2 linked regions of the Anolis sagrei genome follow. The protein of the gene in region 1 interacts with the protein of each later gene in a pairwise test. Links are inferred from orthologs where the notes say so. Each region holds a gene or a part of one and is shown on either strand. Other genes may lie near its edges.

Region 1 (7,514 bases):
AGACCCTAAGGGCCATTCAGTCTAAACCTCTGCCATGCAGGAACACACAATACAAGTACTCCCAATAGACCACCATCCAGACTCTTTTGAAAAACCCCCAGAGGTGATTCCACTGGGCTCCCAGGCAGAAGCATATTCTACTATCAAAAAAGCTCTTATTGCCAATATATTCTTTCACACGTTTACATGAAATCTCCTTTTCTGGCATTTAAATCCATTGCTCCATTGTGTCCTAATCTCCAGAGAAGCAGAAAACAAGCTTGCTCCCTCCTCAATGTGACATCCTTTCAAATACTGAAATATGGCTGTCATGGCACCTCTTTTCAAAGCTAAACATCCCCAGCTCCTCAGAATAATAGAACTGGAAGAGACCTCGTGGGCCAACCAGTCCAACTCCCTACCATGCAGGAAAAGCACAACCAAGCACCCTTGAGAGATAGCTGTCCAACCTCTGTTTAAAAGCCTCCTCTGAATTCCAAGACAGAATGTTCCTCTGTTGAACAGTTATCACAGTTAGGAAGTTCTTCCTAATGTTCAGGTGGAATCTCCTCTCCATTGAGTCCTAGTCTCAAAGGAAGCAGAAAACAAGCCTGTTCTCTCTTCCTTATGACATCATTTCACATATTTATACATGGCTACCATGTCTCCTCTCAACCTTCTCTTCTGGGTTTCCTCTCAACAGACCCAGCTCTCTAAGAGAGGTTTTTCATGTTCTCCAGACCTTCGATTATCCCTTTCTCTGGATTCCTTTCAGCTTAAAGTCAATATCTCTTTTGAACTGTGGGGTCCAGAATTGGACACAGTATCCCAGGCAAAGAGGTCTAACTAAAGCAGAATATAATAGAGGAGCACCATGACTTTCCTTGATCTAGACACTATCCTAGAACTGCATTGGCTTTTTGAGCTGCTGCATGACACTCTTGGCTCATGTTCAGCTTGTTGCCCACGGAGACTCCAAGATCTTTTTTCACATGTTCTATTGTCAAGCCAGGCATCACTCATTCTGTATCTTCACATTTCATTCTTTCCTGCCTAGGTGTCATATCTTACCTTTGTACTTGTTGAAATTAAACAGGGGCTGGATGGGCATCTGTTGGGGGTGGGTGGTGAGAGGGAGGGTTGATTGCCACAGAAAGAAGGGGGTTGGACTAGATAGCCTTTGGGATCCCTTCCAACCCTATTATTCTATGACCCAATGTCACTCACGGAATCTTCGTGGCTTCATCTAATATTATATACTAATATTATATCCTAATATATATAATTCATTTAATATAATATAGCAATGTTGTATATTCCTATATAATGTAATATAATATAGTAACAGTAATATATATATAATTCATCTAATATAGTATTATACATTAATATTATGTATATATATATATGTATATGTGTGTGTGTGTGTGTATACACACACACACACACACATATATATATATATATATAACATGACATTTCTATGCCACCCTTCTCACCCCGAAGGGGACTGAGAGCGGCTTACAAGATATACACATATACAATATATGGTATTATTAGCATAGTACAATATCAGTATTAAATATTACTATATTGTACTATACCATTATATTGTAATATTATTAATAATATTACATGTAATATAAATATTATATGTATATACAATATATATTACATTATATGTATTATAGAATTCATCTAATATAATATAGTAATATTGTATATTAAGATATAATGTAATATAATAGTAATTTTAATATTATATATAATTCATCTAATATAATATTAATTAATATATAATACAATATAATATAGTAATAATATATATTATACAATTTATCTAATATAGAATTACATATTAATATTATGTGTAATATATTAATATTATATATAATACAATTAATATAATATAATAATATTGTATATTAAGATGTAATGTAATATAATATAATAATAGTAATATTTTATATAATTCATCTAATATAATATTAATAAATAAATAATACAATATAATATAGTAATAATGTATATTATACAATTTATCTAATATACAATTACATATTAATATTATGTATACTATATTAATTATTAATTAATATTATATATAGTATAATTCATCTAATAGGAATATTGTATATTAATAAATAATGTAATATAATACAGTAATAGTAATATTATCTATAATTCATCTAATATAGTATTATATATTAATATTATGTATAATATATTATTAATATTATATATAAGTCATCTAATATATTAATTAATATATAATACAATATAATATAGTAATAATACATATTATACAATTTATCTAATATAGAATTACATATTAATATTGTGAATAATATATTAATTATTAATTAATATTATATATAATATAATTCATCTAATATCATATAGGAATATTGTATATTAATACATAATGCAATATAATATAGTAATAGTGATATTATATATAATGCATATAATATAATATTTAATATATAATACAATAAAATATAGTAATAATATATATTATATAACTTATGATATTTTAATATATTAATATTATGTATAATATAATATATTAATTATTAATTAATATTATATATAATATAATTCAATTAATATAATATAGGAATATTGTATATTAATATATAATGTAACATAATATAGTAACAGTATAATACATAATTAATCTAATATAATATTTAATATATAATACAATAAAATATAGTAATAATATATATTATATAACTTATATGATATTTTAATATATATTAATATTATGTACAATATATTAACTATTAATTAATACTATATATAATTCATCTAGTATTATATCATATATTGTATAGTCATAAATAATGTAAATGATATTTTAATATATATTAATATTATGTACAATATAATATATTAATTATTAATTAATATTATATACAATATAATTCATCTAGTATTATATCATCTAGTCATATTGTATAGTCACATATAATGGAGTATTATACATATAATTCACTTAATATAACCTTATATTACATCTTAACGACTCACAGTGAGGAACACGGGCGAGACTCCTTCTCCTCCGCTTTCTTCTTTTCTTCTTCTTCACAAGCAAGGAAGCGGAAGCGGAAATGGACCCAGCTCTCGCGAGAAGAGAGGAGGAGCCCCTGACCACGTGACGCCCGCCGCGAGCCTTGGCAGCATGCAGAGCGGGGCAGAGTGCATCACGTGATCCAAGCCACGCCCCCTTTTCAGTCCAATCAATGGGCAAGCCGCTTCAGAGGCGACAGCGGCCCCTGCTGGTGTGAGAGGGAGCCTGCATTTACATGATCCAAGCCCCGCCCCCGCCCCGCCCCCTTTTCAGCGGAATCCTCGTCCAATTTCAGTCCATGAATGGGCAAGCCGCTTCAGAGGCGACAGCGGCCCCTGCTGGTGGGAGATGGGACCTGCACTTTCAAAAAGATCTTGCTGCTGGAGTAATATTACTATTACTATATTACAATATATGTTAAATATACAATCTTCCTATATTATATTAGATGAATTATATTATATACTAGCTTGGGGACCCGGCGCTGCCCGGGTTATTTGAGAAAGGAATTGTGTATCAAGGTTGGTCTTTATCAGTTATTTATATGCCTCGCAGTTGTCTCAGGAAGTTAGTGAAGTTACTGTGAGTCCCATTATCTGTGGTCCATCCCCCTCCAAACTGCTCCAGGATGGAGAGTTGGTCATGGGGGTTTTGTGTGCCAAGTTTGGACTTGATCGGTCATTAGATGAATGTTGCAGAGGTCTTGGGAAGTGAGTGGAGGTACTTGAAGTCCCATCATCCATAGTCTGTACTCCCCAAACCTCACCAGAATGTTGAGTTGGCCATGGGGGCTCTATGTTACAAGTTTGGTCTTTATTGGTTTTTGAATGAGTGTCGCTATGGTTTCAGGAAGTGAGTGAACGTACTGCAAGTCCCATCATCCATCGTCCATCTTTCAAACAGCACCGGGATGTAGGGTGGGTCATGGGGGCTGTATGTGCCAAGTTTGGTCTTGATCGGTCATTAGATGAGGGTTTCAGCAATCTTGGGAAGGAAGTCCCATCATCCATGGTCTGTCCTTCAAACTGCACCAGGGTGTAGAGTGGGTCATTGGGGCTCCGTGTGCCAAGTTTGGTCTTGATTAGTCATTGGCAAGGGTCTCAGTGGTCTCAGAAAGTGAGTGAGGTTACTGCAAGTCCCATCATCCATCTCCATTTTTTTCCAAATGACACCAGGACGTAAAGTGGGTCATGAGAGGTCTGTGTGCCAAGTTTGGTCTTGATCAGTCATTGCATGAGGTTTGCAGAGGTCTCAGAATGTGAGTGAAGGTACTGGAAGTCACATCATCCATTGTCCGTCCTCCTCCAAAACTGCAGCAGGATGTAGAGTGGGTCATGGGGGCTCTGTGTGCCAAGTTTGGTCTTGATCGGACATTAGGTGAGGGTTGCAGCAGTCTTGGGGAGTGGAGGTACTTGAAGTCCCATCATCCATGGTCTGTCCTCCTCGAAAGTGCACCAGGATGTAGAGTGGGTCATGGGGACTCTGTGTGCCAAATTTGGTCTTGATCAGTCAGTGGTCTCAGGAAGTGAGTGAAGTGATTGCAAGTCCCATCATCCATTGACAATTTTTTCCTAACCGCACCAGATGTAGAGTGGGTCATGCTGGGTCTCTGTGTAAATTGTGGTCCTGATCCATCATTGTTGGCAGTTGTAATGGTCTTAAGAAGGGACTCTACGTGGGGTTGCCCTTGAAGACGGTTCGGAAACTTCAACTGGTCCAGCGAGCGGCAGCCAGGCTGCTCACTGGAGCGACATACAGAGAGCATACCACCCCTCTGATGTGTCAGCTCCACTGGCTGCCGTTTCAGTCCCGAGCCCAATTCAAGGTGCTGGTCTTAACCTACAAAACCCTCTATGGTTCCGGTCCAGTGTATCTGTCCGAACGTATCTCCCTCTACGTCCCACCACGGAATCTAATAACATCAGAGGGGGCCCTGCTCTTGACCCCACCACTTTCCCAAGTGAGGCTGGTGGGGACAAGGAGCAGGGCCTTCTCAGTGGTGGTCCCTCACCTGTGGAACTCACTCCCGGCGGATATCAGGACATTGACATCACTCCTGTCCTTCAGGAGGAAGGTAAAGACGTGGTTGTGGGACCAGGCCTTCGGGCAATCTGCCAACCAAGTAAGGACAACCAGAAAAATAGGACCGGCAGGACTGATAAGTGTGGAATGAAACTCTGAACTATGAGGTAGCAAATATTGACCGGCAATAAGGAGCAATTGGTTTGTATCGGTTTGTATGAAATTTTTATGGGCTTTATTGGTTATAGATATGATGTATTGTTATTGTTTGCTATTTTGTGCTATTGTGTTTTATTATTGTTGTATGTTACGGGCATCGAATTGTGCCTTGGATATGTAAGCCGCCCTGAGTCCCCTTCGGGGTGAGAAGGGCGGGGTAAAAGTAAACCAAATAAATAAATAAATAAATAAATTGTTACTATAGTGTCTGGCATAGACACTGAGAACTGGGAAGCCCTGGTCCTTGACCGCTCCAGCTGGAGGTCAGCTGTGACCAGCAGTGCTGCAGAATTTGAAGAGGCATGAATGGAGGGCAAAAGAGAGAAACATGCCAAGAGGAAAGCGCATCAAGCCAACCCCGACCAAGACCGCCTTCCACCTGGAAACCGATGCCCTCACTGCGGAAGAAGATGCAGAGCAAGAATAGGGCTCCACAGCCACATACGGACCCACAATAACACTGGAAGACAATCCTCCTCGGAAAACGAGGGATCGCCTAAGAAGAAGAAGACTGATCTACACCATTCATGGAGAAAATCCAAAAGGACTCCAGCTGGAAAATCTACAAAGTCTTGACTGGTAGGTCTACTCGGGTAACCAGAAGCAATTGGAGCCGGGAGTAGAAGCCCACACCAGCAGAACCTAGAAAGCAGATTGCCCGGGAGGGTCAAAAAGGGTTTTCCTTGTTAAAGAAAGAAATAGTTCTCCAAGCAAGTTGCCTGTCCTTTGTAGACAAGTTAAGAAGCATTTGTTTAATTTGTTGAAGATCCAAGAAGTATTTGATTGCTTGTTGAAGACGTAAGAAATGATAAAGAACTTTGTTAAACATGAGCCAACAATATGATGTGGTGGCAAAAAAAGCCAATGGGATTTTGGCCTGCATCAATAGGAGCCTAGTGTCTAGATCTAGGGAAGTAATGCTACCCCTCTATTCTGCTGTGGTTAGACCACACCTGGAATATTGTGTCCAATTCTGGGCACCACAATTCAAGAGAGATATTGACAAGCTGGAATGTGTCCAGAGGAGAGCGACTAAAATGATAAAAGGTCTGGAGAACAAGCCCTATGAGGAGCGACTTAAGGAGCTGGGCATGTTTAGCCTGAAGAAGAGAAGGCTGAGAGGGGATATGATAGCCATGTATAAATCTGTGAGAGGAAGCCACAGGGAGGAGGGAGCAAGCTTGTTTTCTGCTTCCCTGGAGACTAGGACGCAATGGAACAATGGCTTCAAACTACAAGAGAGGAGATTCCATCTGAACATTAGGAAGAACTTCCTGACTGTGAGAGCCATTCAGCAGTAGAACTCTCTGCCCCGGAGTGTGGTGGAGGCTCCTTCTTTGGAAGCTTTTAAACAGAGGCTGGATGGCCATCTGTCAGGGGTGATTTGAATGCAATATTCCTGCTTCTTGGCAGAATGGGGTTGGACTGGATGGCCCAGGAGGTCTCTTCCAACTCTTTGATTCTATGATTCTATGAACATGAAGAAGAGCTTCCTGACTGTGAGAGCCGTTCAGCAGTGGAATTCTCTGCCCCGGAGTGTGGTGGAGGCTCCTTCTTTGGAAGCTTTTAAACAGAGGCTGGATGGCCATCTGTCAGGGGTGATTTGAATGCAATATTCCTGCTTCTTGGCAGAATGGGGTTGGACTGGATGGCCCAGGAGGTCTCTTCCAACTCTTTGATTCTATGATTCTATAAACTTTTTAAGCTTCTAAAGACTTTTGTATAGGAAAATCCTTAGGGCCTCTCACTCGAGGCACCCCGGCTTCCCGCTGGGCACAAAGAGCACGTCCTGTTCAAAAGCCAACTGCTATAGGCCCAGCGCGTGACCGCGCAACAGTAACCTTAAAAACAGGCACGATCATCTTAACTATTTTGCTGTTAACCTTCCTTGATTCTCTTCTGTGTGTTCTCCAAACATGGCTTTGCAAACATTATATAAATAATTGGAAACATCCTCCCATGCCTCCCCCCATCTCCACTTCTGTCCTTAGGGATACTTATGACGACAAGGACAAACCCAGCGAATTCCATGGCAATTGCCTAATTCTTCCGACTCCCAGGGCTATTAATGTAATGCTTGCTAGTTCCTCATGTTGGAACAGAGGAGGAAGAGATTATGCCGAAGCAGAGCGGCATTTGTGAAATAGCAGCTGGTCTCCCTTGAGGAATTGGATAGACGCTTCACTGATAAATTTTAAAAGGAAAAGCTCTCACAAAC
Region 2 (7,361 bases), on another chromosome or scaffold:
ATTATTAGTAATATTACATGTAATATGAAATATACAATTATATGTATTATATTGTATCACATTATAATATTATCAATATTATATGTGTATACAATATATTATATTATTAGCACAGCACAATATTAGTATTATAGATTAATATATTGTACTATACCTCTATACTGTAATATTATTAGTAATATTACATGTAATATGAAATACACATTATATTATGTTAAATTATATTATTATATTGCATTACATTATAATAATATCAGTGTTATATGTGTATACAATATATTATTAGCACAGAACAATATTAGCATTATATAGTACTATATTATACTATACCACTATACTTTAATATTATTAGTAATATTACATGTCATATGAAATATACATTATATTGTAGTATTATTAGTGTTATATTGCATTACATTATAATATTATCAATATTATATGTGTATACAATATATTATATTATTAGCACAGCACAATATTAGTGTTATATATTACTATAGTGTACTATACCACTATACTGTAATATTATTTGTAATATTGCAAGTAATATGAAATATACATTGTATTGTCTTATTATTAGAATTATATTGCATTACATTATAATATTATCAATATTATATGTGTATACAATATATTATATTATTAACACAGCACAGTATTAGTATTATATATTACTATATTGCACTATACCACTATACTGTAATAATATATGTGTATACAATATATTATATTATTAGCACAGCACAATATTAGTATTATATATTACTATATTGCACTATACCACTATACTGTAATATTATTAGTAATATTACATGTCATATGAAATATACATTATATTGTCTTATTATTATAATTATATCGTATGAAATTATATTATCCGTATTATATGTGTATACAATATATTATTGGAACAGGACAATATTAGTATTATATATTACTATATTGTAGTATACCGCTATACTGTAATATTCTTTGTAATATTACAAATATAAAATTATTCTATTGTATTATTATTAGTAGTACATTGTATTACATTATTATATTATCAATATTATATGTGTATACAATATATTATATTATTAGTACAGCACCTTATAATATACTATAATAATATATTATTAGAGTATTAAATTATTATATTATCAATATTATATGTGTATACAATATATATTATTAGCACAGCACCTTATAATATACTATAATAATATATTATATTATTACACACACACAGTACTAAATTATAACATTATCAATATTATAATGGTATACAATATATTATATTATTAGCACAGCACCTTATAATATACGATAATAATATATTATATTATTACACATAGAGTATTAAATTATAACCTTATCAATATTATATGTGTATACAATATATATTATTAGCACAGCACCTTATGATATAATAAGAATTATATTAGCACAGTACAATATTGGTATTATATATTACTATATTGTACTATACCGGTATACTGTAATATTCTTTGTAATATTACAAATATAAAATTATTCTATTGTATTATTATTAGTATTACATTGTATTACATTATTATATTATCAATATTATATGTGTATACAATATATTATATTATTAGTAGAGCACCTTATAATATACTATAATAATATATTATTAGAGTATTAAATTATTATATTATCAATATTATATGTGTATACAATATATATTATTAGCACAGCACCTTATAATATACTATAATAATATATTATATTATTACACACACACAGTACTAAATTATAACATTATCAATATTATAATGGTATACAATATATTATATTATTAGCACAGCACCTTATAATATACGATAATAATATATTATATTATTACACATAGAGTATTAAATTATAACCTTATCAATATTATATGTGTATACAATATATATTATTAGCACAGCACCTTATGATATAATAAGAATTATATTAGCACAGTACAATATTGGTATTATATATTACTATATTGTACTATACCGGTATACTGTAATATTCTTTGTAATATTACAAATATAAAATTATTCTATTGTATTATTATTAGTATTACATTGTATTACATTATTATATTATCAATATTATATGTGTATACAATATATTATATTATTAGTAGAGCACCTTATAATATACTATAATAATATATTATTAGAGTATTAAATTATTATATTATCAATATTATATGTGTATACAATATATATTATTAGCACAGCACCTTATAATATACTATAATAATATATTATATTATTTCACACACACAGTACTAAATTATAACATTATCAATATTATATGTGTATACAATATATATTATTAGCATATCACCTTATAATATACTATAATAATATATTATTACACACAGAGTATTAAATTATAATATTATCAAGATTATATGTGTATACAATATATTATATTATTAGTACAGCACCTTATAATATACTATAATAATATATTATTACACACAGAGTATTAAATTATAATATTATCAAGATTATATGTGTATACAATATATTATATTATTAGTAGAGCACCTTATAATATACTATAATAATATATTATATTATTACACACACACATAGACAGATAGAGATGTGTAGAGCTCTGTGATGAGATGGCACAAAAGCAGTGCCCTGGATGACAGCCTTACCTTCTGGATAGTTTGCTGGGTGACCTCTCCTTTCCCTCTCGGGCGAGCAGAAGCAAAGGCCACCGACATGATGGTGGGATGCTCTCCCTCTCCCTCTCCCTCGCTGTGCTGGTTCCCTCCTTATTGCCTGTTTCCTGGAGAGGACGTGTCAATACAAGGGCGCCGTGCGGTGGGAAGAGATGTGGAGGGGAGACCTGGGCAGAGATATTGTTATGCTCTCCCTCTCTCCTTCCCTCTCTCCCTCTCTCTCGCCTCCGCCGCCGCAGTGCATGGGGAGGGGAGTCCGGGCAGATGGTACGTTCCGCGCCTGGCCAGGAGCGCCGGGCTCCGCTCCAGCCGGCCCCTCCCCGTCCCTCGCGCGCCCTCCCTCCACCTGGGCGCCCCTCCGCTCCCCAGGGAGCCGCGCCAGGCAGCCGAGAGCCACCTGCGCCGCCTGGCCCCGCCCCCTCCCCGCACCCCTCCCCTCCCCGCCCGCCCAACATGGTCCAGCCCAGGCGATGCTGCCTCTCCCCTCGCGAGCCAATCGCTGCTCTCCCCGCCTTGTGCCAAGCTTAGCAGCGCCTCCGTGAGACAACTGCGTAAACGGAAGCGGCTCCGCTACGCCAACTGCGTGCGGGGTGGCAGGTGGAAACTGAGGCGGGACCACCCCGCCATCCCAGCCGGCGCTGCGTTCTCTCAGCTCTCCTCAACTGCGCCGTTAGCGTAACGCCACTCAACCGCGAATCAGTCAACTCTCAGCTGCGCTATTAGCGTAACGCCGCTCAATTCCCCTCAGCTGCGCCGTTGGCGTAGCGTCACTCATCGCTCCATTGGCGCTACACCACTCAAGTCTCCGCAGCCGCGCCATTAGCGTAACGTCACTTAACTATCCTCAGCCGTGAGTCAGACAACTCGCATCTGCGCTATTAGCGTAACGTCTCTCAATTCTCCTCAGCTGCGCCGTTAGCGTATTGTCACTCATGGCTCCATTAGCGCAACGTAGCTCGACTCTCCTCAGCCGCGCCGTTAGCGTAACTCCACTTAAGTCTCTTGAGCTGCGCCATTAGAATCATAGAATGAAAGAGTTGGAAGAGACCTCATGGGCCATCCAGTCCAACCCCATTCTGCCAAGAAGCAGGAATATTGCATTCAAATCACCCCTGGCAGATGGCCATCCAGCCTCTGTTTAAAAGCTTCCAAAGAAGGAGCCTCCACCACACTCCGGGGCAGAGAGTTCCACTGCTGAACGGCTCTCACAGGAAGTTCTTCCTCATGTTCAGATGGAATCTCCTCTCTTGTATTTTGAAGCCATTGTTCTGCGTCCTAGTCTCCAAGGAAGCAGAAAACAAGCTTGCTCCCTCCTCCCTGTGGCTTCCTCTCACATATTTATACATGGCTATCATGTCTCCTCTCAGCCTTCTCTTCTTCAGGCTAAACATGCCCAGTTCCTTAAGCCGCTCCTCATAGGGCTTGTTCTCCAGACCCTTGATCATTTTAGTCGCCCTCCTCTGGACACATTCCAGCTTGTCAATATCTCTCTTGAATTGTGGTGCCCAGAATTGGACACAATATTCCAGATGTGGTCTAACCAAAGCAGAATAGAGGGGTAGCATTACTTCCTTAGATCTAGACACTATGCTCCTATTGATGCAGGCCAAAATCCCATTGGCTTTTTTTGCCGCCACATCACATTGTTGGCTCATGTTTAACATGTTGTCCACGAGGACTCAAAGATCTTTTTTGCACGTACTGCTCTCGAGCCAGGCATTGTCCCCCATTCTGTATCTTTGCATTTCATTTTTTCTGCCAAAGTGGAGTATCTTGCATTTGTCACTGTTGAACTTCATTTTGTTAGTTTTGGCCCATCTCTCTAATCTGTCAAGATCGTTTTGGATCCTGCTCCTGTCCTCTGGACTATTGGCTATCCCTCCCAATTTGGTGTCGTCTGCAAACTTGATGATCATGCCTTCTAGCCCTTCATCTAAGTCATTAATAAAGATGTTGAACAGGACCGGGCCCAGGACGGAACCCTGTGGCACTCCACTTGTCACTTCTTTCCAAGATGAAGAGGAAGCATTAGTGAGCACTCTCTGTGTTCGTCCACTTAACCAATTACAGATCCACCTCACCGTAGTTTTGCCTAGCCCACATTGGACTAGTTTCCTTGCCAGAAGGTCATGGGGGACCTTGTCGAAGGCCTTACTGAAATCCAGGTACGCTACATCCACGGCATTCCCCGCATCTACCCAGCTTGTAACTCTATCGAAGAAAGAGATCAGATTAGTCTGGCATGACTTGTTTTTGATAAATCCATGTTGACTATTAGCGATGACTGCATTTGTTTCTAAGTGTTTGCAGACCGCTTCCTTAACAATCTTTTCCAAAATCTTGCCCGGTATCGACGTGAGGCTGACCGGACATTAGCGCTACATCACTCAACTATCCTCAACTGCGAGTCAGTCATCTCTTAGATGCGCTATTAGTGCAGCGTCGCTCAATTCGTCTCTTCCAACTCTTTGATTCTATGATTCTATGAATTCTCCTCAGCTGCGTCGTTAGCGTAACGTCACTCATCGCTCCATTAGCGCAACGTCGCTCAACTCTTCTCAGCCGCGCCATTAGTGTAACGCCATTCAAATCTCCGCACCTGCGCCATTAGCGTAACGTCATTCATCGCTCCATTAGCGCAACGGCGCTCAACTATCCTCAGCTGCGCCATTAGCGTAACGCCACTCAACTCTCCTCAGCCGCTCCGTTAGCGTAACTCCACTTAAGTCTCTAGAGCTGCACCATTAGCGCTACATCACTCAACTATTCTCAACCGCGCGTCAGTCAACTCTCAGCTGCGCTATTAGCGTAACGTCGCCCAATTCTCCTCAGCTGCGTCGTTAGTGAATTGTCACTCATCGCTGCATTAGCGCAACGTCGCTCAACTCTCCTCAGCTGCGCCATTAGCGTACCGCCACTCAACTCCCCTCAGCTGCGCCGTTAGCGTAACGTCATTCATCGCTCCATTAGCGCAACGTCGCTCAACTCTCCTCAGCCGCGCTGTTAGCGTAACTCCACTTAAATCTCTTCAGCTGCGCCATTAGCGTAACTCCAGTCAAGTGTCCTCAGCCGCGCCGTTAGCACAATGTCGCTCAACTCTCCTCAGTTGCGCCGTTAGCGTAACTCCAGTCAACTCTCCTCAGCTGCGCCATTAGAGTACCGTCACTCTACTCTCAACCGCACTATTAACATAACGTCACTCAATTCTCCTTAGCGTAGCAAGATGCCCTCTCGCCGCGATTCCCAACCTAACAGGTGTTTTGGACTCCAACTCCCAGAAGCCTCAGCTGCCTCAACTCACGACCAGGGACTGTGGGAATCGAAGTCCCAAACCACAGTGGCTTTCGAAAGGCTGAGGCGAAAAGGGGGCGGGGCCTGCTCGTTCTCCGTCTGGCCAATCCCATTAGCCGCTATGACGGCGAGCGAACGGGATTGGTCGAGCCGGCGGCGTGTGGGGGAGAAGGGGGGTTACGTTCCCGACGCACGTCTAAGGCGTCATCCTGTGGCGAGAGCGAAGGCGCCCGCGCCTGCGCAGTGGGGGAAGGTGACGGTGCTGTTTCGAGGGCTGGCTGCTTCTCCTCCTTCTCCTGAGGCCTGTCGCCATGAGCTACGACCGGGCCATCACCGTGTTCTCCCCGGATGGGCACCTCTTCCAAGTCGAGTACGCGCAGGAGGCCGTGAAGAAAGGCTCCACCGCGGTAAGGAGCGGGTCCTGAGGGAAAGGAAGGCGGGAGGGAAGGAAGGGGAAGGCCTCAACTCTGCAGCCATGTTGGAAAAGACGGCCGCTTTCTCCACTGTTTACCTTCCACCGCAATGGATAGAAAGGCATCCTTTAGAGCAGTCATGGGCAAGCTTGGGCCCTCCCTCCAGGTGTTTTGGACTTCAACTCCCACAATTCCTAACAGCCTACCGGCTGTTAGGAATTGTGGGAGTTGAAGTCCAAAACACCTGGAGGGCCCAAGTTGGCCGAGGCCCTTCTCACCCCGAAGGGGACTCAGAGCTTACAAGATATATATGTTGTTGTTGTTGTTCATTCGTTCAGTCGTCTCCGACTCTTCGTGACCTCATGGACCAGCCTACGCCAGAGCTCCCTGTCGGCCGTTACCACCCCCAGCTCCCTCAAGGTCAGTCCAGTCACTTCAAGGATGCCATCCATCCATCTTGCCCTTGGTCGGCCCCTCTTCCTTTTGCCTTCCACTTTCCCCAGCATAATTGTCTTCTCTAGGCTTTCTTGTCTCCTCATGATGTGGCCAAAGTACTTCAGCTTTGTCTCTAGTATCTTTCCCTCCAGTGAGCAGTCGGGCTTTATTTCCTGGAGGATGGACTGGTTGGATCTTCTCGCAGTCCAAGGCACTCTCAGAACTTTCCTCCAACACCACAGCTCAAAAGCATCGATCTTCCTTCGCTCAGCCTTCCCTAAGGTCCAGCTCTCACATCCGTAGGTGACTACAGGGAATACCATGGCTTTGACTAGGCGGATCTTCGTTGCAAGTCTGATGTCTCTACTCTTCACTATTTTATCGAGACTGGACATTGCTCTCCTCCCAAGAAGTAAGCGTCTTCTGATTTCCTGGCTACAGTCTGCATCTGCAGAAATCTTTGCACCTAGAAATACAAAGTCTGTCACGGCCTCCACGGTTTCTCCCTCTATTTTCCAGTTGTCAATCATTCTTGTTGCCATAAT

What was found.
Region 2: the proteins of MAPK1IP1L (region 1) and SS18L1 interact in binary tests that used the Homo sapiens proteins (3 or more experiments, as listed by UniProt). The two-hybrid records come from large-scale screens. The link is inferred for Anolis sagrei from reciprocal best matches to the Homo sapiens genes MAPK1IP1L and SS18L1.

Annotation. Positions count from the first base shown.
Region 1 is NC_090021.1:337,014,019-337,021,532, forward strand, and holds the start of MAPK1IP1L (MAPK-interacting and spindle-stabilizing protein-like), read right to left. Parts: upstream 3,118-7,514; 5' UTR 3,016-3,117; intron 1-3,015.
Region 2 is NC_090024.1:232,273,299-232,280,659, reverse strand, and holds the start of SS18L1 (calcium-responsive transactivator), read right to left. Parts: upstream 3,048-7,361; 5' UTR 2,720-3,047; coding exon 2,651-2,719; intron 1-2,650. Other genes in the region: PSMA7 (proteasome subunit alpha type-7), read left to right, coding at 6,280-6,375. UniProt on the Homo sapiens protein: Transcriptional activator which is required for calcium-dependent dendritic growth and branching in cortical neurons. Recruits CREB-binding protein (CREBBP) to nuclear bodies.